Macaca fascicularis: one gene and its partner. The protein of the gene in region 2 purifies or fractionates together with the protein of the main gene of each other region. This does not show direct contact. Links are inferred from orthologs where the notes say so. Each region holds a gene or a part of one and is shown on either strand. Other genes may lie near its edges.

Region 1 (5,047 bases), on a different chromosome or scaffold from region 2:
AATTTTTTTTTTTTTTTTTTTACAGAATTTCACTCCTATTGCCCAGGCTGGAGTGCAATGGTGCGATCTCAGCTTACCGCAACCTCTGCCTCCTGGGTTCAAGCTATTCTCCTGCCTCAGTCTCCATAGTAGCTGGAATTACAGGCATGCAACACCACTGGTGCCTGGCTAATTTTATGTTTTTAGTAGAGATGTTTTTTTTAGTAGAGATGTTTTTAGTAGAAATGTGTTTTTCTCCAATTTGGCCAGGCTGGTCTCAAACTCCCAACCTTAGGTGATCTGCCCGCCTCGGCCTCCAAAAGTGCTGGGATTACAGGTGTGAGCCACCATGCCTGGCCCTTTTTTTTTTTAATACAAAAATATTTTTCTCCCATTCTCTTGAGTGTGGGACTGTATTGATGGGTTTGTCTACTGTGTGTCTGAAGTCTGCTCTTCCCACCACCACTGACAGCTGAGTGGATTGACCAGTCAGCTTTGCTTTACAGGACATGGGGTCTTGGCCATCCTAATGCTTGAGTGAGTAGGACTTCTCTTGACACACAGGCATCCACACTAGGTCCTCAGACTGCTGGTCAGTGTCTTTGGAGCAAGGTCCTCCATTCTTCTGTAGCAAACAGAGGGATTCCTGTCCCTTTCAATGGGGCATCCAGGGCCACAGCAGTTCCCACATGTGCCCCTGGCCTTGCTCCTGCCCTGCATACCTGCTGACTCCCAGCTAGAGCCCATGTAGCTGTGGCTTCTGGATGTCTCCTATGCCATAGAATTTGTCTCCTGTGTCCCTCCTCCTTTTGTCTTCCGCAGATTTGTTGACATCTCATCTGTTCCTGGCCTCCCTCTTCCCCTGTTTTCACTATCTGGGTTTTTTCTCTTCATGCCTTTTATGTCTGCAGGTCACAAGAGGTCAGAAAGTTGACTGTCTGTTCCCAGTGTGACATCTTCACCTGGGACCTCTGGAAGCATTTCTTGTCTGGTTTTCTACCTTGATGATTTGGTTCATTCCCCTGGGTAGGCAGTGTGAGAAGCTTCCCCAAATTTGGAAATTATGTTATATAGAGCTGGGTGGGAGAATTATATTTGTTAAGTGAGCTTGTTCTTGTGAAGGCAGGACCGAGGAGCCTTGGGCCCTCTGTGTCATGTTTCCATTGCACACAAGTTTATGGTTAGACATGATTTGGCCCAACATGTGTCTGGTTCATTTCAAGAGTGAGTGGATCTATTGTTCCATTTGCTCACGTTCCTCATGGTATTAGAAGGTCAGGAATGAAGCTCAGTTGCCTATTGTTCAATAGGACTAGCCAAGTAAATACCCTTTTCCATGGTAAATTCCCCTATGAAAGGTCATGCAAGTGGAATTGCGGTCTCATGAGAGGATGTTTCCTTGGAGTCTGCATGTGAACCTGGCAGAGCTGCCCATGCCTAACAGAATATCTTCACTGTGTCCTGCAGTGGGCAGCCTTCTGCCACCTTCTCCCCTCACTGCATGGCTCAGGAACTATCTTTCATTTAGAAACTATCTGATGGGCTGGATGTAGTGGCTCATATGTGTCATCCCAGCACTTTGGGAGGCTGAGGCAGTAGGATCGCTTGGGGCCAGGAGTTCGAAACCAGCCTGGGCAACAGCAAGACCCCTGTCTCTACAAAAAATAAAAATAAAATTAGCCAGGCATAGTGGCACTTGCCTGTAGTCCCAGCTACTTGGGAGGCTGAGGTGGAGGGATTGCGTCAGCCCAGGAGTTTGATGCAGCAGTGAGCTGGGATCACGCGACTGCACTCCAGCCTGGGCAATGCAGTGAGGCCGTGTCTCTTAAAGAAAAAGAAAAACTGTCTGACAGCAGTGACTCCTGCACATCATTTCTTCCATTTCCATTTTTTATTTATGAATATTTAAAATACAGGTAGGTTATGGTATTGTATTTCATTGGCAAATACTAAACTCCAGTTTGGAAAACCTATCAGTTTGGGTTGTCTTTTTTTCCAATCATTTTATAAGCATTTAATGAGTCACCTACCAGATGACATGGAGAGTAGCTTCCAAATTGTTTTTATTCCACATACCTATTAGAAAAAAGTTTTAAGTACTTGATCCCAGTGTCTTCTTAATGCATGCCTTATACAGATACAAAATGTAAATGGAAGTTCTGTTTTATTTCCTCTTCTAATTACTGACCTGTGAACCCCCTGGGGTACGCATACCCTGCTTTGGAGACTGCTGGCTGGAATACATGATATGAAGTAAAAGGAATCCTACTCCCAGCAGCTGCCAGTCCAGTTCTGGAGACAGACAAGTGGTGGGGTAGGGATAGGTGTTCCTAGGGCAGTGGGGAGGGCCATGGGGCCATTGTCTGCCTAGGACAGGCTCAGAGGGACGAAGGTGAGCTGAGGCTTTTAGAGGCTTGGTTTTGTAAAGAACCGAGACAAAATGCAAAACCATGTGGGGACGTTGGTGGTATAATGGTGAGCATAGCTGCCTTCCAAAATCAAAGGAATTGGTCTCATACTCTTGGATGAAGACCAGGCTATAGTCACCAGGCAGTGCAGTAGCTCACAGAAGGAAGAGGCGGTGCTTGTCTCTTGTACAACAGTCCTGGGGTAAGCAATTCAGGATGTGCAGCCCCGTCAGCTCTCTTGGTTGCTGTGGTCCAGGGCTGGGCTCCTGCATCTCCCAGGTAGCCACAAGGGGAGGCAAGGGAAAAATACTCACCGCTTGTCTCCTCTGCTTACTTTTTTGCGGTGACAATTGGTCTCCCTTAACTGGAGAAGGGAGAAGAAGATTGGGTCACAGCAGCTTCCACCATAGCACTTTATGTTACCAGTTATGCTGAGAAAGATTTTTTGGTGGATTTACCTACATGAGCTGACATCTGCAGGTTGCTCTAGGTATAAATTAGGCTGATACGGTTTTCTTCACTGAGATGCCTGGTGAGCCTGATGACAACGCTGTAGTGTGCAGTCAGGTACCTTGGAAACTGTCACCCCTCCCACTATACAGAACACCAGTGGTCACCCTGATAGGAGAGATGATTTTCTTCTGCTATGTCCTCAGGTCTCAGTGGCCCTTAGCAGCAGCTCCATTCGTGTGGCCATGCTGGAGGAAAATGGGGAGCGTGTCCTCATGGAAGGGAAGCTTACTCACAAGATCAACACTGAGAGTTCTCTCTGGAGTCTCGAGCCCGGGAAGTGTGTTTTGGTAAGTTTGGGCACCTGTGTGCAGGGTTCCCAGGTAGACGTCAAACCTGCAGTGATGCCCCTTTTGACCAACAAACCTGTTTACACTTAAGCAGTGAGGCTGTTAATTTCAGCTGCTAGGGCAGATGGGTTTTCCTGAGCATTTTCCAGACTGCTCAGAGATTGCCTCTGTGGGCACTTGAGCTTTGGCCCTTTGAGGTCTTGGTCGTTCCAAAGAGCTCCACTGTTATTACATCTAAGGCAAAAACAAGTAAATTGAAAATGAAAAGGTAGGTTGAATTTTTACAGATGCTACTCTGGAGGGTGCAGAGTTAATAAATTCAGAGAATCAGGCTCATTGACCAACTGGCTCTCCTTACCCAGCTGCTGGTTAGGCATTAGCTAAGAGTTCAGGACAGTAAGATTAAGGTGTGAATCCAAATGAACAGCTCGCATGTTACCAGTTAGCAGACTCACTCACAAATTGGGCTGCATGCCTGAACCAGATCTGTTGGTGTCTCACCTCCCTCTGCCCTATGAAAGCTTTGAACCCTGTCAGTGGTGGCTCTGTGCTGGTGCCCAAGTGGCGGTCACCTACAGATACATTGAGGCACAACATGTTCTGAATTAACTTGTTTCCTCTTTCCTCTTGCTGGGGTGCTTACAGGGCGTGGTAAAAGGGATAAAGGTGAAAAAAATATTAAGTCTGGACAAAAGTCTTTAGAATTTTATACAGATATATTCTTCATATGTGCAAAATATGCAATAAAGATATCTGTTTTGGTTGCTGTAAGACGTGCTTGACAGGCTTCTGCCTGGGCTTCCCTGGCCAGTGCTGACTGGCAGGGACAAACTATCTTTTGGGCCCACAGTGACTCTGTCCTGGCTGCCCTCATGCTCGGAGGGACATGCGGGCCAGGTACTGAAAGGAGGGTATTCTGTCAGTGCTGCAGGATCCTGAACCAACCTTAATTCCAGTCTTGATATCAAGCCTGGACGATGGAGTTCACTCTGGCTACACAAAGGTGGGGCCAACCTGGGCACAAACAGCATGCTCCTTGGTGCTGCGGTGGCCTCAACTGCTCCCTCTCCTAGTGAGCGTTTCATCCTAAACAGGGCCTCCTATTTAGGCCCTACGCGAGGCCGTATGTGTGGTGTATAGGGTTTCCAGCAGTGGGGCTAGGACTGACCCATCCCAGTTCAGACTCTCCTGGCCACCCAGGGCCTACCTCTGCTGATGGCCAGCGGCAGATGACAGTGGTTCTTGTTCTAAATCTCACCCTGTGTGCTCCCCTGCCTGTGGCGTTCAGTAGTCAAAGACCAGAGAAGTGTTCTTCTCCTGCCTACAAATACTGTGATGATCACCCCATCACCCAGCAGTTCAGTTCCTCATCCCCTGACCCCTGACATATAAAACCTATGCATTAATTACACAGCCTGGAGCCTTTTTCCAAGCTATGGGCTCCTGTGACTACTACCAGTTCCTTTCCTTTATGTCATATTTGACTTTGCAGATGCCGTTATGGCCTCTTCCTCACTTGAGCTTCACGTGGTTGTGGAGGTATGAGAGCATGAGTGATGCACTAGCAGTACTGGGGCTGGCTAGCTAGACCTCTGAAGGTGCAGCCCTGGCTGCCTGGATTGCACTAGTGAGCCCATGATCCTGGGGTTGCCTTCTCCATGGACTGAGAGGTCATGACAGCCCTGCCTTAAAACACTGACTTGATTCTCCTGCCTTCTGTTGGGTGAACTCAGTGCAGAGCATGGAGCAGGTCATGATGCTCTCATGTTGGTTCCCTCTGAGCGGGGAGCTCTTGTGAGCCTTCCCCATGTGGTCCGGTTGCACTTTGTAGATACTTCATGCAGAAGCCCAAAGCCTTAG
Region 2 (5,047 bases):
AAGTTGCAGAGCAGCAAAGTTTGTCTTTGGTGCCATTGCCCAGATCCTGTCCTGCCAGCTTGGTGCTCTCATGGTGCCTCCAAGTTCCCTGGCTCACCCCTTCACCCTTATCCCAGCACCGTTCTGCTGTCCACACTGTCAGGGCCAGCCCATTGCCTAGGCTTTGTCCAGTCACACCTATCCCCACTCTGCTGACCCATAAGGAACTGCCCTGCCACAAACTTTATGGCCATGGTCCAGCCTCAAGATCGGAGGATGCAGAATTCACCGTACCAGGCTCCTAGGCACAGAAAACCAACCAACCAGCCAAAGACTGTTATGGAAAATTAGAGGCTGGGAGTTGGCTGGTCTGATTATTTGTGGCTCTTGGTTGGATTCACTGTTTGAGGGCTCAGTCTTTGCTGCTGTAACCTATTTGTCACCACCTATGGGCAGAATCGGAGTTCTGTAGTCTGTGTTAAATCAGTCTAATTTTGTAGGAAAATTGGCGACTCTGGCCATCTGGGAAATGGTGGCTGCCTCTCTGCCTCCCATCAGCACACCTATGGAACCTTCATCATAGAGCCCAGGGGATCAATGGAACCAAGAAGGGCAGCTCTTCCTTTTATAGCAATATCAATATGGCATCTACCGCTGCTCCTACAGGCATAATTAGCTGTTGAGGGGCGAGTGTGTGCCAGGTGCTCTGTTCACACCTCTACCTCATGACCTTATGAATGCTCACAGTTATCTGAGAGCACAGAAATGATTACAAGCAGTCTACAGAGGTTGTGTTACTTCTCCAAGGTCACATGGCCACAGGTGATAGAACGCTGGTACATTTGACTTTCGAGCCTCTGCTCTTTCAGCAGGGTTCAAATACCCATAGTATGGATTTCTTCACTGGTTCAAAGCTCTGAAAGGTCATTTACTGTATGTTGGAACCAGCCTTCCTCCCTCCCTGGCCACACCCTGATTCCTTCTAGTTCTTGTTTCCTAAGTCACTGAATGCTCGTAGGTCATCACTGTCCAGGATGTCTCTTCCAGAAGGCTGATGGTGAGCAAAGTCTGAGGTCTCATCAGGAAATTAAAGCCAAGGGGGAATGGAAAGTAGCCCAAAATGAAATTCCAGGATTTAAGGTTTCAGACTAGGCAGGAGAGGAAAGGCAGGAAGGGCATCTGATGGTACGTAGACCCCAATCTCTTAAAACAGCAGCAAAAACAGGTAACACTGATTGAGTACCTGTTATGCACCAGGCTCTGGGTGAAGCACACTCTATACATTATCCCATTTAATCCTCACAACACACGTATGAGGTAGTTACCTCTAATATCCCCATTATACAATGATGAAACTGAGGCTCAGGGAGGTGAAGTCACATGGTCATACCATGGCAGATGTGGGAATTGGACCCAGCTCCTAATGGCTCCATAGCCCGAGCTCTGAAACTTTGTGTTGTCCTGCCTTTATGTGCCCACATTGATTTCCAGATCATTTCGGAGCGCACCAAGCCCAGGATGCATGAGTTCCAGTCTGAGGTGTTCATGATCATCGGTGGCTGCACGAAGGATGAACGGTTTGTGGCAGAGGTGACTTGCCTGGACCCCCTGAGGCGCAGCCGCCTGGAGGTGGCCAAGCTCCCGCTAACGGAGCATGAGCTGGAGAGTGAGAATAAGAAGTGGGTGGAGTTTGCATGCGTGACGTTGAAAAATGAGGTCTACATCTCAGGTAAGCTAGGAGTCATGTAAAGCCACAGCAAGCCCCAGTAGCACTACATATGTTCCTGAGTGGCAGCCAGGCAACCATCCTAGAATTACTGTGAATTGGCAATGATCTGGCTCTGACTGAGACAGGATATGGACCCAGGAGCTCAGGTGGTCTTATCTTGGAGGGTACATTGCTCCTTAATAAACACCAAACTGAGCAGCATTGTGCTATTCTTTTCTTTTCTTTTTTGAGACAGAGTCTCGCTCTATTGCTCAGGCTGGAGTGCAGTGGCACGATCTTGGCTAGCTGCAACCTCTGCCTCCTGAGTTCAAGTGATCCTCCTGCCTCACCTTCCCGAGTAGCTGGGATTACAGGTGCCCGCCACCATGCCCGGCTAATTTTTGTATTTTTAGTAGAGACGGGGTTTCACCATGTTGGCCAGGCTGGTCTTGAACTCCTGACGACAGGTGATCCACGGGCCTCGGCCTCCCAAAGGGCTGGGATTACAGGTGTGAGCCACCTTGTCTGGCCAGCATTAATAGAAAACCTAGAGAGGAGGCAGACAAGTCCAGTCCTTCACGGAAAAAGAAGAGGGAAAGTGGTAAGGGTTTATTCAGTGTCTGCTATAGGCATAGGCCCCTGAGCTACGCAGTGGGAATTCAGTAATGAGTAAACACGTCTGCTCTTCCCCCAAACCTGACCCCTCCCATGTTTATTAGGTTGTACTTGGGTATACTTCAGTAGGACCCAATACTTTTTCATTAGGAAAATGTTTGCTTCAGTATTGATAGTTACTTTGTGTCTGTCTTTCCCATTAGACCTGAAGTTCCATGAGGGGTAACACTATAGCCCCTGTACCTAGCACTGTGCCTGACCTCCGGGTAAATGTTCAGTAAATATTTGTTGAATGACACAGTCTCAACCATCTTTACTGAGTAGTAGATACATTTATACTTTAATAACATTTAATTGTTTGCCTCTCACATCAGCTCTGTAAGATAGGGGTTTTTAGGGTAGGAGAAAACAGAGGCACAGAGAGATTCTTGAACATACCTAAGGTCGCACACTGGTAGGTGTCAGGCAGGACTTCAACCCAAGTTCTGAGCCTAACGACCACGCTCTCCCCATCACATCAAAAGCCACTTGGCTCTCCCTGGGACCCTAAGGAAGGAGACAAGCTTCCCTTCCCCTTTCTTACAGGCTTTTCTCGAATCTGAACTTGTTGAGAGGAAAGCAGCACCCCAGAGCATGTTTCCTCCAAAATCAAGGACAGATCGTCCTTTGGATGCATTCATATCATTGATTAGGTTCTAGCTTTCTTTTCATCTTGCAGAAATTTTTTTTAATTTTTTTTTTTTTTTGAGACGGAGTCTAGCTCTGTTGCCCAGGCTGGAGTGCAGTGGCATGATCTCGGCTCACTGCAACCTCCAGCTCCCGTGTTCAAGCGATTCTCCTGCCTCAGCCTCCCAAGTAGCTGGGATTACAGGTGTGTGGCACCACATCTGGCTAATTTTTGTATTTTTAGTGCAGTCGGGGTTTCACTGTGTTGGTCAGGCTGGTCTTGCACTCCTGACCTTGTGATCCACCCGCCTCAGCCTCCCAAAGTGCTGGGATTACAGGTGTGAGCCACCACGCCCGGCCTTAATTGTTGTAGAAGATCCAAACAACGCAGAGCAAGTAAAGTAAAATAGGGCAGTTTCTCTGTGCCATCACAATTCTATGGGTTTTCATTTTTTACAAAAATTATTTTCTATTTGCTCAGGGTAAATAATTTTAGCTGCTGTTACAAATCCTAAGTCTCAGTGAATTAACACAATAGTATGCAGGGGTCAGGGGGAGGACGGTCTGCTCCATTCAGGTATTCAGGGGCCTAGGATCCTGCCATCTTGTGACACTGCTTCTTCCTACATGTGGACTTGATTTAGGGATGAGAAAAACGCTGAGGGAGTTGAGAAGTCACACCTGCTCACAAAAGCCTCAGCCTGGAAGGGCCATTGATTTTGCTCACGCTCCATTGGCAAAAACTAGCGACATGACCTCCCTTACCCTCCCCTCACCCCGTCTAGGTGCAGGGGGCTGAGAAATGTAGTTTAGCTATGTGCCCAGGAGGGATCAACAGGTGTGGTCATCATAGTCAGTCTTTGTCACATATACTACACGTGTTATTCTCTCTCTTTCTTTCTTTCTTTCTTTCTTTCTTTCTTTCTTTCTTTCTTTCTTTCTTTCTTTCTTTCTTTCTTTCTTTCTTTCTTTCTTTTTTCTTGAGATGGAGTCTCACTGTTGTCCAGGCTGGAGTGCCATGGAGAGATCTCGGCTCACTGCAACCTCTGCCTCCCAGGTTCCAGCGATTCTCCTGCCTCAGCCTCCTGAGTAGCTGGGATTACAGGCACGTGCCATCATGCCTGGCCAATTTTTGTATCTTTGGTAGAGAAGGGGTTTCACCATGTTGGCCAGGCAGGTCTCAAACTCCTGACCTCAGGTTATCCACCCACTTCGGCCTCCCAAAGTGCTGGGATTACAGGTGCCCACCAACATGCCTGGCTAATTTTTGTATTTTTGGTAGAGATGAGGGGTTCACCATATTGACAGGCTGGTCTCAAACTCCTGACTTCAGGTGATCTGCCTGCTTTGGTCTCCCAAAGTGTTGGGATTACAGGCGTGAGCCACCGCGCCTGGCCCAATTTTTTTTGTGTTTTAAGTAGAGACAGGGTTTCACCATGTTGGCCAGGCTAGTGTTGAACTCCTGACTTCAGGTGATCCGCCCACCTCAGCCTCCCAAAGTGCTGGGATTACAGGTGTGAGCCACTGTGCCCAGCCCACATGTTATTCTTTTGTCATAAATTTATTGTTCACTTTTTAATGATACAAGCAACACCTGAAAGCATGCTTGTTATACACAGTTAAATCAACAGAAACTTGTACTTCAATTAACAATATCATCTGGACATGATGACATGTTGGTTTAATGGATATACATATTAAGTGATATAGTTACTCATGAAAAGCACATCATGGGAGCTTAATTACGCTGGCCAGTATTATCACTACTGTTATTCTTTTTACCAGCTATATGGCAGTCTACCAAATGGATAAACCATAATTTTTTTAGCTTTCTTTTTTTTTTTAAATCTCCTTAAAAAATACTGCAGTAGGCATTCTTAGACACATATTTTTTCATACTTGTGCTGCTACTTGGAAAGTTTCCTGGAAGTGGTCATATGTGAATTGAGAATTTTGTATATATTGTGAAATCGTCCTACAGAAACGTTGTACCAATTTAACAGTCCAATCAGTGATGAGTGACAGTGCCCGTTTTCTATATCCTTGCTCACGATTTCTATTGTTAGTCATTTAAATTTT

What was found. The genes of interacting proteins can lie anywhere in the genome.
Region 1: the proteins of KLHL6 (region 2) and NUDCD3 purify together in Homo sapiens (affinity purification with mass spectrometry; 3 studies listed by BioGRID and IntAct, counting the BioPlex papers as one, with this or other methods). This does not show direct contact. The link is inferred for Macaca fascicularis from reciprocal best matches to the Homo sapiens genes KLHL6 and NUDCD3.

What each region holds. Positions count from the first base shown.
Region 1 is NC_088377.1:85,927,528-85,932,574, forward strand, and holds part of NUDCD3 (nudC domain-containing protein 3), read left to right. Parts: intron 1-3,043; coding exon 3,044-3,187; intron 3,188-5,047.
Region 2 is NC_088376.1:95,416,160-95,421,206, reverse strand, and holds part of KLHL6 (kelch-like protein 6), read left to right. Parts: intron 1-1,470; coding exon 1,471-1,708; intron 1,709-5,047. UniProt on the Homo sapiens protein: Involved in B-lymphocyte antigen receptor signaling and germinal center formation.